Linked DNA regions of Arabidopsis thaliana. The protein of the gene in region 1 interacts with the protein of each later gene in a pairwise test. Each region holds a gene or a part of one and is shown on either strand. Other genes may lie near its edges.

Region 1 (7,198 bases):
GGGACTATTTTTCTTGTAACAGAAAAAGAAGAAGACCAAGAAGGTTGTTGAGAGATACTGGGATTGGGAGCTTACAAATGAGACACAACCGATTTGGGTAAGGACTTGTCAATGTATCTTGAGTGCACTCTGAATCAATTTAACAGTGTATTTTATTTATTGCAGCTGCGTAACCCTAAGGAGGTGACAACAGCAGAATACAATGAGTTTTACAGAAAAGCTTTCAATGAGTATTTGGACCCATTGGCTTCATCCCATTTCACGACAGAGGTATTTTCAAAGGAACACATTTATTGAATTGGATATTTCCATTAAACAGCCGAATTAGATCGTCTTTGTTAGACGATCCACTGAAATATAATGCTCTTTGATTCTCTTGTTGGCAATGCTCAGGGCGAAGTCGAGTTTAGGTCTATCCTATATGTGCCACCTGTTTCACCATCGGGGAAGGATGACATAGTCAATCAAAAGACAAAGAACATAAGGCTCTATGTTAAACGAGTTTTCATTTCAGATGACTTTGATGGGGAGCTGGTGAGAAAAGTTTCTTTTGGTGTGGTTCAAATTTCTTTCAAGAAACCTCTGTCTTTCTAATTATATTGATATCATTTTTGTGGTGTTTGTGGCCAGTTTCCTCGGTACTTGAGCTTTGTTAAAGGTGTTGTGGACTCGCATGATCTCCCACTTAATGTATCACGTGAGATTCTTCAAGAAAGTCGCATAGTAAGCGCTCATATCCAATTCGTATGCAAAGCCTTTATGATATATGTTTTGTTTTAAGTGCAATGCTATGTTAAGCTTACGATTTTGTATTGTGTCTCCAAGGTGCGGATCATGAAGAAACGTCTAGTGAGGAAGGCTTTTGATATGATTTTGGGTATATCCTTGAGTGAAAACAGAGAAGTATGTTTCATAACTCTTGTTCCCCTAAGCTTACAGTTTAACCTTTTTTAATTCCCTTTAGAAATCACTGCTACGTTCTGGTGATGATTTTCCTGACGAATGAGAATGGCATTGTTAACCTATACAGGACTATGAGAAGTTTTGGGATAATTTTGGCAAACACTTGAAATTAGGGTGCATCGAAGACCGTGAAAACCACAAGCGTATAGCTCCACTGCTTCGATTTTTCTCCTCCCAGAGTGAGAATGACATGATCAGCTTGGATGAGTATGTTGAGAACATGAAACCTGAACAGAAAGCCATATACTTCATTGCTTCTGACAGCATTACAAGTGCTAAGAATGCACCTTTCCTCGAAAAGATGCTGGAGAAAGGACTTGAAGTATGTGTTGTTCTTCTGAATGGGGCCTCGTTTTGTTCTTCCTTGCAAATATTCCTATTAACTCAGAGGTGATTGACATGTATTTCTTTGTATTGTGAACGTAGGTACTATATTTGGTAGAGCCTATTGATGAAGTTGCCGTACAGAGTTTAAAAGCTTATAAGGAGAAGGATTTTGTAGATATCAGCAAGGAAGACTTGGATCTAGGCAAGTGCCTGATGTAATTCCTTGATTTAGCATGTCAGGTAATCACTTATGTATAATAACAAATTCTGGCTTTGATCTTTGTATTGACAGGAGACAAGAACGAGGAGAAAGAGGCAGCAGTGAAAAAAGAGTTTGGACAGACTTGTGACTGGATAAAGAAACGATTGGGTGACAAGGTTGCCAGTGTTCAAATTTCCAACCGTCTTAGTTCTTCCCCCTGTGTTCTTGTATCTGGTAAATTTGGTTGGTCAGCCAATATGGAGAGGTAAGATCTGACCTTTTTCTTAAGCAAGGATTTCCGTTCTCCTTTTTTGCCCCTGGTGAACTAACACAGAATATGTTATCTGGACAGGCTAATGAAGGCACAATCAACTGGTGACACAATAAGCCTCGACTACATGAAAGGGAGAAGAGTGTTTGAGATCAATCCCGACCACTCAATTATCAAGAACATAAATGTGAAGTCACCATTCATCATAACTTGTACCTGGCTATTATAATTAAATCTAGGAGCCGCTTTTTGAGCTTGGCTTGTTTTTTTCTTGCACCCTGCAGGCTGCTTACAATAGTAACCCAAATGACGAAGATGCAATGAGAGCCATAGATCTTATGTATGACGCAGCACTAGTTTCTAGTGGGTTCACGGTGAGTCCTATTCTACATTAACATTCTTAACTTTTTGTTGTCTCTAGAATTGAAATAAAGTAAATACTGGTAAAACTTAATTGTTGTTTCTCAAAACTACAGCCCGATAATCCAGCAGAGCTGGGTGGGAAGATATATGAGATGATGGATGTAGCTCTTTCCGGGAAATGGTCAAGCCCTGAGGTGCAGCCGCAGCAACAGCAGATGGCACATTCTCACGATGCAGAGACGTTTGAAGCTGAAGTGGTTGAACCAGTCGAAGTGGATGGGAAGAAATGAACACAAGCCTAATGTTTTATGTCCCTGCTACGATTCTCATCATATTCTTCTTCTTTTATTAGTAGTAGCAGTAAAAGTAGAACCCCAAAACTCAGAACAATAGGCAATGAGCGAATGATAATCTCTATTTATGTTGGAGAGATTAATAATTGATTGAGCTTGTTTTTGTTCCAGTTTGTGTTGATCCTCCTCGGTATAATTTTAATAACCGTTAAGAAAAATTCAGTTGGGGTGTTTTTGGAAAGATTTTTCGAGTTTTATCTAACAAAACTAAAATTTTGGGACATATGGTAATTTTTAATTAAATAGAGGGATGTTGTTATCGTACGAATTGGGTTGGTTTAAAACTTTGTTTGGACAGATTCGACTCAAACGTTGAACGCGTTTAAAAAAGTCAACAAAAGTCGAAGGTTACCGGCTGGTCAGGTTAACCGTTAGAGATTAATGAACTGGCAGCTGTATGTCTTTTTTATAGTTCTGTCTTAACAGGCAAAAAAGTGTTTAATTTATCTTTCCTTTGGGTTTCTCACGGAGTCACGGTTCCTCGTTCGTCCTCTCCCGTCGTCTCTCCGGTGAGTCCTTAATTTTCCGGCGGTCTTTTTCCCTTTCTCGTCTGTTTGGTGCTTTCTTTATGTCTGAGGCGAATACAGCAAAACGTATCTGTTTTGGTTGTTGAGTTCGAGGCTGGTCCTGAAAATTCGGTGACAAAAAGAGTCAATAACTCTCGTGATCGAGTTGGATGCGTTGTTTTGAGGGTTGATTCAGTTTATGACTATGTATTTTGGTACTTGCAAGATTTTCTGATTTTATGAAGATTCGTGTTTGACTTTTATAGCGTATAATCTACGGGGCAAACAGATTCGAGCAACTTGTTTTTTTCTAGCGCTTGTTTTGTGTTTACTCTGTCATGTGTTTGTATTTTTTGAGCTTCCACTAGTGATTAATCATCTCAGCTCAATTTGAACATAGGAGATGTAGTTTTTATCTGTCGGTGGATTTCTAGGGATTTTGCAAAATGTTTTGGGCTTTCCTGAATTAGTATGTGATTTGGTCGTAAAGTATTTTAGGGATTTATGTGTTCCTTGGGGTGAATCTGACATTGACATTATCTTGGTGTCTGCAGCACTAAATTGATGGGCACATCATCTGGGTCCAATCTTCCTCACCAGATGCTACCTCCACGTCAGCAACTACAAACATCTCTTTCGCTTGTATCTTCAGATCCCCACTTGTCACGGTCTAATTCTGGCATTGTGCGTGAATCACCAGCTGAAAGTGCTAGCTCTCAAGAAACTTGGCCAACCTCAAAATCTATTATGGGAAGGAAGACAGATAGCGGAAAGACAGGGCCTGACTCTCATGATCAACATGTGATCCGCCATGTTTCCATTGCTGATAAGGTATCGCTACGGGACATAGCTAGAGAGAGACTTGACATAGTCGCTGAGAGAATGCATCGATTACCAGAAGAATATCTCGAGGAGTTAAAGAATGGTCTTAAGGCTATCCTTGAAGGAAATGGTGCGCAGCCTATAGATGAGTTTATGTTTCTGCAGAAGTTTGTCCAGACGAGATCTGATTTAACTTCAAAGACACTTGTCAGGGCTCACCGAGTGCAGCTTGAAGTTCTTGTGGTTATAAACACTGGTATCCAAGCATTCTTGCACCCAAACATCAATCTCTCTCAGTCATCACTCATCGAGATCTTTGTGTACAAGAGATGCAGAAACATAGCTTGCCAAAACGAACTCCCGGCTGATGGTTGTCCCTGTGAGATATGCGCTAATAGGAAAGGCTTCTGCAACCTGTGCATGTGTGTGATATGTAACAAGTTTGACTTTGCAGTCAACACATGCCGCTGGATTGGCTGCGACGTGTGTTCTCATTGGACTCATACGGATTGTGCTATTAGGGATGGGGAGATTTCGATGGGAGTTTCTCCCAAGAGCGTATCTGGGATGGGAGAAATGCTGTTCAAGTGTCGAGCGTGCAACCATACTTCTGAATTGCTGGGGTGGGTGAAAGATGTGTTTCAGCACTGTGCACCAAACTGGGATAGGGAATCTTTAATGAAGGAACTTGACTTCGTTAGTAGGATTTTCCGTGGAAGCGAAGATACAAGAGGCCGGAAACTCTTCTGGAAGTGTGAGGAGCTTATGGAGAAGATTAAAGGTGGACTGGCTGAAGCAACAGCGGCCAAGTTGATACTCATGTTTTTCCAAGGTAAGCCCACTCGCTATTGTTATATGATAAGGGTTTACTCTTTATAGACCTAACCATGTTTTGTGTATGAAGAAATTGAATTGGACTCTCCAAAGAGCCTTGAAAGCGGAGAAGGTGGGGGTACGATAGCACCTCAAGATGCATGCAACCGAATTGCTGAAGTTGTAAAGGAAACACTGAGGAAAATGGAGATAGTGGGTGAGGAAAAGACGAGGATGTACAAGAAAGCGCGAATGGGGCTTGAGGAATGCGAGAGAGAGGTAGAAGAGAAAGCAAAGCAAGTGGCGGAACTGCAGATGGAGAGGCAGAAGAAGAAACAACAGATAGAAGAGGTGGAGAGGATAGTGAGGCTGAAGCAAGCAGAGGCAGAGATGTTTCAGTTAAAAGCAAACGAGGCAAAAGTGGAAGCAGAGAGATTGGAAAGGATTGTGAAAGCGAAAAAGGAGAAAACAGAAGAGGAATACGCAAGTAACTATTTGAAACTGAGGCTGAGCGAGGCGGAGGCAGAGAAAGAGTATCTGTTTGAAAAGATAAAAGAGCAGGAAAGTGGTGGGAATGGTGGTGAAGCGTCACAAGCAGTGATGTACTCAAAGATCAGAGAAATGCTGCATGGATACAATGCATCGTCGCCAAGGGTAGATCCAAGATCAAACCAGCGAAATCCTTTCAGATCCAATCCTTAGATGTTTGTATTGTCTCTCTTTGTTTGTATTAAAAAAAAAATCCGAATCAATTAAGGTTGGATTTGTGTGTGAAGTATTGTGGTCTTTGTATTCAAATTTTGCACATGATCGTCTATGTTGGGCCATAATGTTATGCAAGCTTTGACACAGAGTGTTGCCAAAATCTCGATACTTATTCACTCGGATTTAGAGAATTGTGGATTTCGCTAATGGAGGGAGATCCATGTTACCTTAAATAGTTTATATTTGAGCCAACATGAGAGCCAAAGAACATCGCCACCGACTTTAAAAAGAAAATATTTTGCCCAAATGGATATTACAGAGTAGTTATTTGCAATAACGTCCTCATGTTTGGGTTATAATAACGATTTGATTTCTTACGGGGTATAAAGCAAAAGGAATCAAAACGTTTGGGGAAATAATGTAATATTCTGGAAACAAAACGCGTATAATCGGATTGATAAGGAATATTATATCATCGCCGATGCAATCATCGACCATCGTTTTGTTTTCCTGTCTACCCAAAAACAAACCCTAGTGTCCGAATTCTCGACAAAATTCATCGGCTCCAAATTCCATTCGTGCTTTTTGAATTCGCGTTCTTCTGATTCAAGATGTTTCTTTCACCTGGTCATTCTCCTCGTCAGATTTCTTCTCCATCGCCGTCTTCTTATTCCGATGATACCCTCCGATCAACGCCTCGCAGTTCTTCCTCGGAGATCATTCCTCGAAACCCTAGAAAACGGATGAGAGTTCTCGATGAGGACGCTTATGTTGAAGCAATCGAGAAGATCATCGAGCGTGATTACTTTCCAGATATAACTAAGCTTAGGGATCGGCTCGATTGGATCCAAGCGGTGAAAACCCGTGACCCGATTCAAATCCGAGATGCCCAGTTGAAGATTATCGAGAGGCGTGGAAAGAAGGCGAATCATCATGTTGGAGATACCGAGGGTAAAACTCAAACTCCTGGATCTACTTTTCTGAGAAATTTCACTCCTTTAGATGAATTTGATGGTAAAACCCCTAGAACTCCTGGAGTATCTGGTAGAGAATTTCATGGTGTTGAAGTAGATGCTGGTGATGGAGATGAAGATATAGATCTTAATTTGTCCCTAGATGAGTTCTTTAGGAGATATACTAGTGAGGATAACGAGAGCTTTTCGAAGATTCTTGAGAAGGTAAATAGGAAGAAGAAGGAGAAGTATGGCTTTCTCCTTGAAGGTGAAAAGGAGGATGGTAAATCTATTGAGGATGTGAAGAGAGATAGGATTACAGATGGGTATGGTACATCTGATCAGCCACCGAGTACTTTAGAAGGATGGAAATATACGGCGAAGAATCTTCTGATGTACCATCCAGCTGATCGGGGTGAGGCGCCTTTAACTGAGGCGGAAAGGGCAGTGAGATTACTTGGATTGACTAAGGAGATAGTTAAAGGGAACACTCGTTTTCATGGTAAGACTATGGATTCTAGGCCAAGAGAAGATGGTTCTGTTGAGATTCTCTACACTCCAATCGCAGGTTCTTCCCCGATGCATATCTCAGGTAGGGACAGAGACAAGTCTAAAAGGTATGATCTTGATGATCTAAGGAAAACACCGAATCCTTTCTATGTGGAATCAGATAAGAGGGCAGACAATGGGTATAGTTTTGTTAGAACGCCTTCTCCTGCTCCAGGTCTTGATGAATCACCCTTTATAACATGGGGTGAGATTGATGGGACACCAATGCGATTAGATCTTGAGGATACACCTATTGATATTGGTGGTAGTGCTGATGGACCGCACTATAACATTCCATCTGCACCTCCTAGAGATGTAAGGGCACATTCATTATCAAGGGATGCATCGCGAAAACTTAGAGAGAGATCGAA
Region 2 (5,160 bases), about 16 Mb from region 1:
TTCAAGAAATTATAAGAATGTTATCTATAAAGTATAAACCTAACATTAAGGATATTGTCATCAACTCATGATCGAGTAAAAAACAGGATATTAATCGAGTATAAATCGATATATATTTTTCATTTTTTCAATTATGAATATTTTAATTAAGGAGTAGTTTAAAAATTTGTCGGAAAACGTGATTAATCATTAGGGGATAGAAATTGTGGTGTTAATATGGAGCAAAGGGCATAGATGATGCTTGGGACATGAACACAGCTGTATCACTACCTTGCCTTGGGAGGCAACCTACCCCAATTTTTGTTTATTTAATTATTAAAATATAATTCCTTTTAGAATTTTTTGATATATGCTTCCAATATCCCAGTGTTTGTTATTTTAATACACTGCCCATCCTCAACCAAATACTACGATGACAACTTTTTTTTTTTTAATAAATACATCCGACGAAAAAAGTCAGTAGTCCAATCACTACTAAACTCTAGATTTTATGGAAGTCTATTTAATTTATAAGTTTGTTTGTGGTGAGTTTCATATAAAATTACATCATATATGATCTTTGCATTTTTTATTCGGTGAATTGATGAGAGTACTATCTGATCAAGATATGTTAAATACATAAAGATTTTTCAAACTTTTTTACAAAAAGATTCTTCCAACTAAACAAATCGTCATTGGCGTTTTAGAGTTGCATCGCAAATTTCAGTAAACAATCTTAGCTAATGTTTTCCATTCTGAGTTCTTATTCTTTATTAGTACATTTTTAAATTTGCTGTCGATTTTAACGGCATTTGTTCAATCAATAACGTAGTGAATGACATGGGCGACTTTGATTAAACAGTTCAATAATTAAAGAAAAAAAATCGAAAAAGGAAGTTCTCGAGAGACAAAAAAAAAAATTGTACGAACAAGACTTGGAATCTTGGTTAAGAAATTTAGATTCGGTGGGAAGGAGGAGTGTTTAATTCTTACAGTGACTTTGTGTAAGTAAAAAGGTGAAAAGGGGAAAATAGCATCTATTTTTGTTACTTACGAAGCTGATTGAAAAAGAGAGAGCAGCGAAACGTCATCGTTTCGTTAGCTTTCTTACATGTTTCAGTGTCAACATAAGAGGGTAAAACCAAGTCCAAAGCAACTTACTGTGTCTGTCTATTTTAGGCTAATTATAGGGTAGAAGACGAACTCATAATAATTTTAATTAACAAGTAAGCAATTACTTTTGTGACGTCAAAAGAGATGATTTCTATGAATGAAAAGAAAAAACCCGATGATTTTGCACAAATGAAGCCAAGCATTGATCTTGATTGAAGATTGTGAGGTTTTTGACGTTTGACGTATGCATTTTTAAGGAAAGAGTCATTTATTATTAATTTGGTTGTTGAAGTGCAATTCCTTTGTTAACTAATGTTATAAGAATTTCTTTCTTTTGTTCTTTATTTGTTTTTTGTCAATAAACAGTACTACTCTATGTTCACGTAAAGTTCTTAAAATAAAGAGAAAAATAATTTAATGAAGATCGCAATAAGTCCTTTCCGATCGGCTTTGATAAGCGTGCCATATACCAACGCTCGACGCCAAGTGAGGTTCGATTATATTGAGTCCATTATATATAAGATAATATTCTTCCATAATATACACTCCCTTAGTATATACATTGCAAAACAAATTCATATAAACTAAATACGTTAACATGATGGTTTGTATTTGTGAAACTCGAGAAATTCACTATATTACTCATTTAAACAAAAACAAAAAAATCATGCAAAAAAATAATAACGTAGTACGTTTTCTTCAAGCATGTTCAAAGAAGTTATAACATCAATCTTATTTACTACTTACTAACGAAGACAGTGCATCTCATTAATATTCTCATGCATAACATATTGGATCCATCCAGGTTAAAAGTTAAAATAAGAAAACTTGAATTCAAGGTAATATTGTTTCGCCGTCGCCTGAACAGATCCCGGCGAAACAGATGGGTTCCCTGGATTCTGACATATTTCATGTGGATGTGGGGTAATTAACAATTATAAACAAAAAAAAACAGTAGTATAAAATTTAGATACCAAAAAAAAAAAACTACACAACTACTCTCTCTTTCAGTCTTTCCCATTACACTCATTCGAACTTATATAAAAGATTTATTTTTATATTTTGAAAACAAATTAAAATTGTAGAAATAGGAAAATTCATGGTTGCTGCCTCAAATGGTGAGAGCGGTTCATGCACCTTCATTTGTCCAGAAGCGCCTTAGTTCACAACTCGTGGGTCCAAAATCCCACCGATTGTGACACGTGAACGGTTGATCCAGACAAAGGATAATATCCTTCATGAAATATGACTCAAAACGAATTTTCCATTCATCAGCTAATTTTAGTGACACCAAGTGACTAGTGATTCCAATCTCTTGCGAGTTGCAATGATTCCAGACAAAAGTATATATAAGTACACCAACTAATTTATGCAAAACTGGTATTGAAAGTTTAAAGTAAATAAATTTATATTTTTTGTCATAAAATAAATAGTATAATTTTATTTATAGTTAAAAAAAATACGTGCAACATAAATATAACTGTCCAATGCATATGGAAGGTTGAAACATCCATGTCAAAGCAATGAACAAATTTTCAACTGCTAGCTAGTGTACGTTAATGTATACATACATATATTTACTAAATACATATACGTGTGTGTTACAAAGTTTTAGGAGTGTGAAAAATAGAAGAAGGAAAACAATCCTAATTGTTATAAATTATATATGTAATAAAAAGGAGTAAAATAATAAGAATGGGTCACAAAGTGCTATATAAATCCATCACTTCCTTTTATATTGCTGAATCTCTGATTGGTAGTAACAGTTTACATTTCGCACATAACTCTCCCTCTGTCTTCCACCATCATCTCTTCTGTGATTCAGACACACAAAGCCCTAAATTTCAAGCTTTGTCAGTCCATCTTCTTCTTCCTCCATACCTTATCTCACCAGCTTCTCCATATCTCTCAAAGAAAAAACAAACCCTATAAATTCCACAAAAAAGGAGGATGGATAACTCCGACATTCTAATGAACATGATGATGCAGCAGATGGAGAAGCTTCCTGAACACTTCTCTAACTCAAACCCTAACCCTAATCCCCATAACATTATGATGCTTTCTGAATCCAACACCCACCCGTTCTTCTTCAACCCCACTCATTCTCATCTCCCATTTGACCAAACCATGCCTCACCACCAACCCGGTTTAAATTTCCGGTACGCCCCCTCCCCGTCATCATCTCTCCCGGAGAAGAGAGGAGGCTGCAGCGACAACGCCAACATGGCGGCGATGAGAGAGATGATCTTTCGAATAGCCGTGATGCAGCCTATACATATTGATCCGGAATCCGTAAAGCCACCAAAGAGAAAGAACGTGAGGATCTCTAAGGATCCACAGAGCGTGGCAGCTCGGCATCGAAGGGAGAGGATAAGCGAGCGGATTCGGATTCTTCAGCGGCTTGTTCCCGGTGGGACTAAGATGGATACGGCGTCGATGCTCGATGAGGCTATCCATTACGTTAAGTTTCTCAAGAAGCAAGTGCAGTCGCTGGAGGAACATGCGGTGGTTAACGGCGGAGGAATGACGGCGGTGGCCGGAGGAGCACTTGCGGGTACTGTTGGTGGAGGATATGGAGGAAAAGGGTGTGGCATTATGCGGTCTGATCATCACCAGATGCTTGGAAATGCACAGATTCTTAGATGATGATGATGTTGATTTTTAAATATATATCATATGTTTATTAATATGACGGGAAAAAATATTATCGAGGGAGTTGAATTTAGTATCATGAAACTATGAGAGCATTTTTTTTAAATGTTTTTATCTTTCCGGGTTTCGATAATGTTTGGGATGGTTAATTAACAATTTAAAAGTCAGACAACTTGGTTGTAAAGACTAAAGAATAAGCATAGTTTATCAATTTATCATTACTAAATGAAATAGTCTCTTGTCACTGATCAATGCAACATGTTTTAGCTTTCAGACATCTAGTTAAGGTTTTGTGAGTTGAATAATAGTATTGTTTTCTGTCTTGTTTCCAATGTAAGCGTCAAAAGTTTATAATTTATGGCATTTCGTACCTGTGGTACGTTCTTGATGCATAGGTGTATGATTTTGTGAGCCAACTTTATAGATAACAGGAAGTTTTGGAGACAAATCGATAACACGAACATCTGTGGTGTTGTTTAGCATTTTAACACTTATTGAAAAATAAAAATATATATCATACTTTTAGAGTGTAAGATTCTGCAAAATTTCAATGCATGTAATAATTAATATATAAATACAAAAGTCTAAGCCTCTTATTAAATTAAACGAAAACAGACTCTTATGAAATAAAACAAAAATTGTTTAGAAAATAAATTACCATATATATTGATTTTAATATTGGTGAGTTATATATGTAAAATTATATGTTTTCTATTGTTCTTCTTTTTAGTTAACAAACTAGAAAGGCAGATTGTATTACTACTACTATCTTGCTGTATAAATAACTTTTTCTCTTTTGAATGAGTGTATATCAATCTATCTCGTACTTAAATGTTTTTTTTTTGCTTTCTTTTTTTTGCTTCTTCATAAATTTCTCGGAACTTGAATCAACTACATTCATTACAGAAGATGGAGAAACCCAGCTGACATCCCAACTTTAAAAAATAATTTATATCACAAACCAAGGCTACATATTATTGTGTCACAAGGTAAAGCCCAAATAAAGATCCATTTCACAAAGATAAGCCCTTTACCGTACACAGATATGTTTGTTGTAACAGATAATGATACAAACTAGTATTAGACTTAGACTACATGTTTTGGTCGGAGCACGACGGCGGACATTGTTCTGGGAGCAAAAGGGGTACTTCAGAAAGATGAAGATGAACATGAATAAGGCAGTTTCGTAATTTCACATAAGGACTTCACCGTTAGATTAATCTCGAAAATTTCCATATCTCAGTGTTGTTGTTTTTTTGTGTGATACAGATTGGTAATTTCGAAGATATGCTTTATTTGTTCGTAAATTTGTAAAGGGATCAGTAGCTTTTTAAAATAAACGTCCCTTGGGCCTCTTAAAAATGGGTTGTAACTATTTATCTTATATAAAAACCCATTATGAGATGAAATTCCTGA
Region 3 (5,715 bases), on another chromosome or scaffold:
TCGTGGGATAATGGTTTATTCCAGTATTAAAATTTACCACTTATCTTGATGTTGGGAATAAGACTTTTGAGTTTCGAGTAATTAATCCACTACAGTTTTTATCATTATTGGTTCTAGATACGTACGTACGTTAAATGGCAAAGATACTATGCGTTCCACAAACTCTAGAGATTATTCGACCCACTTTAACTCTAGAGATTATATGTGCTTTGGTTTGGATCACCCATTATACATCATTTTCTTGATATTTATAGTTCATCTTCCAAGACCACCATGTGCTTGGTTCATGTTTAGACGTTAAAGTGAAGAATATAAAGCAAAATTATTCGACACCCAACGTTACATCCAAATATGCGTTAAACATTGATATTAGAAAAATACAAAATATGACATCTAGTTGAAGTCCACATTGGATTCCACTCTCATTTTACTTTTTGTCTTTTATCTACATATTCTTCCTTACAGCTTTCTTTCAATGTTTATTTAATTAGTACAAGTAAAATAGGCATAGCATTGTGTCATAACCCTCAACTCTACAACATGCATGCATTATATATGCATATATAGTAGAATTGATCATGCATGTATTAACTGTAACTGAAGTGAGATTAAGACTTATGAAACAAAACTAATAGGACTACAAATATTAGTCTTTTTTATCATCCCATATTTCTCTGTATATAAACTCTGTAGTTATTTCTAATTTTAAGATTTATAATCATCCTTGACAAAAAAAAAAAAAAAAGAGATTTGTGATCAGAACATTTGTTGTTTAAAGAACTTGTTTGAGTTGTTGTTAAAAAAAAATAACATAATTGTTATGTCAAGATTATTTGAATTAATATTTTTTATCCGTTAAATTGTTATGTAACTTCTTGTCATGAAGTACAAAATATACTCAATTATTAATACGACAAAATAAATAGTACGTAACGTTGCAGAGTCGTAGAGATAGAATTAACATGCAATTTTTTTTTAATTTTTTTTTTATATCAACATGCAATTTAACGAACACGTTTCTTGCACCTGCTTGATAGAAAATAATAATATAAATTATTGGAACGAAATACAACCAGAGAAAAACGAGCATAATTTTATTATTTTATTTTTAGTTTTCTAAAAATCATCTTACTTTTTTTTATCTTGTTTTATGTTTCATTGTAGTTTTAATACGGGGAACGATTTTACCCCGCATGTATAGAACAAAAACAAGTTTACTTTTAAAATTAGTGAAAGACTAGTTCCAAAACCGCATTGACATGTTAGTTTTTTCTCTTACAAATATATATTTGTTATCTTATTCTAATGTTAACCAAACAAATATTGATCGGGAAGAAAAAGAGATGCTCAGAAATATTATAACACAATGAGTGATTGAGACATAGAAAAAAGGATGATCATTGAGATTTTGTAACTATGTAGATAATATAGACGTGCACGACAATAATAATACAACTCGGTCGATCGGGTCAACTACCCCATGTTATAATTTAATCGTTGACATAAGAAACTGTTTTAAATAACAACAATCCATGGTTTCTTCCCCACCCATATATAGCCATAAAACACGTTACATGAACACTCAACACGTTCTATTTTCATTTTTTATTTTGTTAATAATTTAAGAATTTTAAGCTGAAGTCCAGATTAATTTCCAAAACATAGAGAGACAATATAATTATTGCCAGCTAAGATAATCACAATTACTGAATACGATTAAAATCCAAGTTGGAAGATTTTATTTTTGTAACCAATGGACTAGTATCCAAGATAATGTTGATACATACGAGTACATTTTATGTCACTATATACAATTTCCGATATTTTTTATTTTTCAATCATTCGTTAATAAAAATTCTACAAACAAAAATAATTCATCAAAACACTAAATAAATTTTTTTTCCCTTTTTCTCAATTTTATGCCTTGCCTAATTTCTGTTCCATTCATTTTTGAAACAATTTCAATAGTGGAACATGATAACAAAAGTCGACACGTGACAAGAACTTAATAGCTGGCTGGAGATTTTAATAGGCTCATAAAATCATAAAAACATAGTCAACACTTGTATCCACAGATCCACCGTTGGATTGACCTTTCGAAAATCCAGTGGTTCATATAAGAGTTAATGGGACCACCCGGTTACCGAGGTCGTCAAATAGCTTTATGTTCAAAGAAATAATCGTAAATTCGTTATTTTTTATTTTCTTACAATAATTTAGTAGCACTACTACTTTAACATTTTAAATAGTCAGCTTTTCACCTTCCTTTGTCGTATTGATGAATCGCTGTTCTAGTGGACTTTTAAAATCATTAGTCAAACCATTACTGCTATTTTAATTATAATGACTATTATTATTTGTTGTTTTCACAATATGTGTAGAATACTTAGGTGAATTTGAGGTTAATAAAGTTTCCAAGTGAAGACTGTTTCTAAAATGAAAACTTCTTGTTGTAAATAAGTAAACAGTCAAATTTTATCAATAGAAAAAGACAAAAAAGAAGTAAAAGTCCGGCGCCAAATATTTATTGGTTATGGAAACCCCTTAACTTAGTCTTGAATTAGTTAATCGTAAATCTAGTTGACAAATATTAAAGTCCGTAGAATTTGAAAGAATACAGAAGATTCAAATTGGGACAAACATAATATATAATTAAAGCTTTATAAAAGTCAAATGTATCCATTATTATTATTTTGGGATTAATCAATCATCTCTGTCTCTCGTTGACAACTCTTCCTTCTCTTGCCTCAACCAAATTCCAGCTGGCCCTCTTTCTCCATTGTGTGTGAATGAATCATTGACATTATTTTTACTTACTTTGGTCATGCAAACTTCTTTCTACACCTTTTGCTTAAGCTAAGTTGAATGATTTTTGTTAAGAGTGTTGTTATTTAGAGAAAATTCTGTCCATCCATTATCTTTTTGGGTTGAAAAATATCTTGAATTTGAAGTAACGATAAAATTCGGATGCCAGGGGTGGGTCCCAGTAACCTCGAACTTTGAGGAGACCAAACTGTTGATTGCTTTATTCCGTGGAAATCCTCAACTCAATCACAGCCGTTGGATCAAAACCTCCTTCCCGGTTTGACTAAAAAATCACCAAAAATCTGACCCGGTCACCTCCTCTTTTCCCCATATATCACGCATCCTTCTTCTTCTCTCTTCTCCATCACAACCATTTCTCTCTCTCGTCTTCGTCTTCTTCTTCTTCAACGTTCCTCTCCAAAATCCTCAGACCAAGAAATCATCATGGCCGTCGATCTAATGCGTTTCCCTAAGATAGATGATCAAACGGCTATTCAGGAAGCTGCATCGCAAGGTTTACAAAGTATGGAACATCTGATCCGTGTCCTCTCTAACCGTCCCGAACAACAACACAACGTTGACTGCTCCGAGATCACTGACTTCACCGTTTCTAAATTCAAAACCGTCATTTCTCTCCTTAACCGTACTGGTCACGCTCGGTTCAGACGCGGACCGGTTCACTCCACTTCCTCTGCCGCATCTCAGAAACTACAGAGTCAGATCGTTAAAAATACTCAACCTGAGGCTCCGATAGTGAGAACAACTACGAATCACCCTCAAATCGTTCCTCCACCGTCTAGTGTAACACTCGATTTCTCTAAACCAAGCATCTTCGGCACCAAAGCTAAGAGCGCCGAGCTGGAATTCTCCAAAGAAAACTTCAGTGTTTCTTTAAACTCCTCATTCATGTCGTCGGCGATAACCGGAGACGGCAGCGTCTCCAATGGAAAAATCTTCCTTGCTTCTGCTCCGTTGCAGCCTGTTAACTCTTCCGGAAAACCACCGTTGGCTGGTCATCCTTACAGAAAGAGATGTCTCGAGCATGAGCACTCAGAGAGTTTCTCCGGAAAAGTCTCCGGCTCCGCCTACGGAAAGTGCCATTGCAAGAAAAGGTATTGTTACGTCACCCACCTGTCGCTCTAACAACTACTCAGTGACTTCAGTTATTTAATTTCAAAAGTTTCAACCCATAGTTGACTATTACCCTCGCTATATCAATAATTAAAAAATAGTCTAATAATTCAATTAGGTGAACCCGGTTTAGTAATACTGTCCCGGTTATCGGTCTAGTTGCTTTAAATGTCGGGCATGTTTTGGTATTGCGCGCCGACAATGACTAGAACCGGTTGAGCTCAATGAATAACTCAAGTTTTGACCGTTGACTTTTGGAACCCAATGTTTTTTCCGTTAATTAATATTTTCTATTTGATTTTTAATGAAGCAGGAAAAATCGGATGAAGAGAACCGTGAGAGTACCGGCGATAAGTGCAAAGATCGCCGATATTCCACCGGACGAATATTCGTGGAGGAAGTACGGACAAAAACCGATCAAGGGCTCACCACACCCACGGTAAATATCCTACACCCGTCTAATATCCACCGTTGGTATTTAATTTAATCGCGATCTAACGGTGTTTATTTGTTTTTTGCGATCCAGTGGTTACTACAAGTGCAGTACATTCAGAGGATGTCCAGCGAGGAAACACGTGGAACGAGCATTAGATGATCCAGCGATGCTTATTGTGACATACGAAGGAGAGCACCGTCATAACCAATCCGCGATGCAGGAGAATATTTCTTCTTCAGGCATTAATGATTTAGTGTTTGCCTCGGCTTGACTTTTTTTTGTACTATTTGTTTTTTGATTTTTTGAGTACTTTAGATGGATTGAAATTTGTAAATTTTTTTATTAAGAAATCAATTTAAATAGAGAAAAATTAGTGGTGGTGCAATGTTTTATACTATTGTTGTTGATGATTAGTAGATATGGGTATTAGGTAGAACCGTAGAGGTTATGAAATTAATTGCGCACCAAATGATATAGACTTATGTTCGTCATTTACTTTTCATTATTCATTGTTTTTTTCCTTAATTAATATAAATGACTTGGTGGCCGTTGGATTGCTCGCGAAAGTAAAGTTGACTAAATTGATGAATGATTAAAAGTCAATGAGTACTTAATGAGTTGGTTGGGTTTTGGTGTCGAATAATGCATTTGAGTTTGTCTATATAAATGTGAAATCCGAAAGACAAGTTAAGGGTCAACTGAATTTATTTATGCCGTCTGAATAGTACATTGACATTTATTATCTATATCTTGTGTCAAAGTTGTCATTTGTTATTGCCGACCTATGTTTTAAAATGAAATACCAAGTGTTTGACCATTTCCTATGTTTATATTTCGATATCGATTGGTAGTAAGACAAACAGTTTGGCACGATGTATACAAAATTAGAGATGTACAAGTACTTGCTATGTTAAAAGGGAACGGAAGTTACGAAACACTCGTATATTTTTAGAGGGACAAAGTTTCAGTTTCTAGTTAGGAAGGAAGATTTGAAGACCATTACTACTTGTCCCACCAACCAAAAAATAGTATACAAAGACGACCACACTTAAATCATCTGGTACAAAACTCCTCACTTGAAATTCTCAGACACATATTGGTTCGTGGAATTCGTTTGTATCTACTCCTTTTTATGTGAGAGGATCGGAACAAATATTGCATTGGTCACAAACACTATAACGTTTCTTAGTAAGAAAACGCAACGTCATTTCAGCTGCATTCATGCAAGAGTATAAATGTGAAAAAACAATCCAAGATTTTTTTTCAGTCTATAAAGTATAAACACACACGTATCACAAAAATACATCACCAAACACATACACAGCACTTTTTTAAAAATGGCC

What was found.
Region 2: the proteins of OBE1 (region 1) and HEC2 interact in a two-hybrid assay, tested with the Arabidopsis thaliana proteins (one large-scale study listed by BioGRID).
Region 3: the proteins of OBE1 (region 1) and WRKY11 interact in a two-hybrid assay, tested with the Arabidopsis thaliana proteins (one large-scale study listed by BioGRID).

The regions. Positions count from the first base shown.
Region 1 is NC_003074.8:2,481,555-2,488,752, forward strand, and holds OBE1 (potyvirus VPg interacting protein (DUF1423)), read left to right. Parts: upstream 1-2,899; 5' UTR 2,900-3,431; coding exon 3,432-3,454; intron 3,455-3,539; coding exon 3,540-4,639; intron 4,640-4,711; coding exon 4,712-5,322; 3' UTR 5,323-5,572; downstream 5,573-7,198. Other genes in the region: Hsp89.1 (HEAT SHOCK PROTEIN 89.1), read left to right, coding at 23-97, 166-270, 394-534, 631-723, 826-903, 1,031-1,285, 1,390-1,492, 1,583-1,757 and 3 more; AT3G07790 (DGCR14-like protein), read left to right, coding at 5,937-7,198. UniProt on the Arabidopsis thaliana protein: Probable transcription factor that acts together with OBE2 for the maintenance and/or establishment of both the shoot and root meristems, probably by controlling the expression of the meristem genes such as WUS, PLT1 and PLT2 and of genes required for auxin responses.
Region 2 is NC_003074.8:18,656,001-18,661,160, reverse strand, and holds HEC2 (basic helix-loop-helix (bHLH) DNA-binding superfamily protein), read left to right. Parts: upstream 1-2,783; 5' UTR 2,784-3,042; coding exon 3,043-3,738; 3' UTR 3,739-4,206; downstream 4,207-5,160.
Region 3 is NC_003075.7:15,288,993-15,294,707, reverse strand, and holds WRKY11 (WRKY DNA-binding protein 11), read left to right. Parts: upstream 1-3,168; 5' UTR 3,169-3,249; coding exon 3,250-3,917; intron 3,918-4,246; coding exon 4,247-4,375; coding exon of another isoform or gene 4,376-4,379; exon of another isoform or gene 4,380-4,462; coding exon 4,463-4,643; 3' UTR 4,644-4,761; downstream 4,762-5,715. UniProt on the Arabidopsis thaliana protein: Transcription factor. Interacts specifically with the W box (5'-(T)TGAC[CT]-3'), a frequently occurring elicitor-responsive cis-acting element.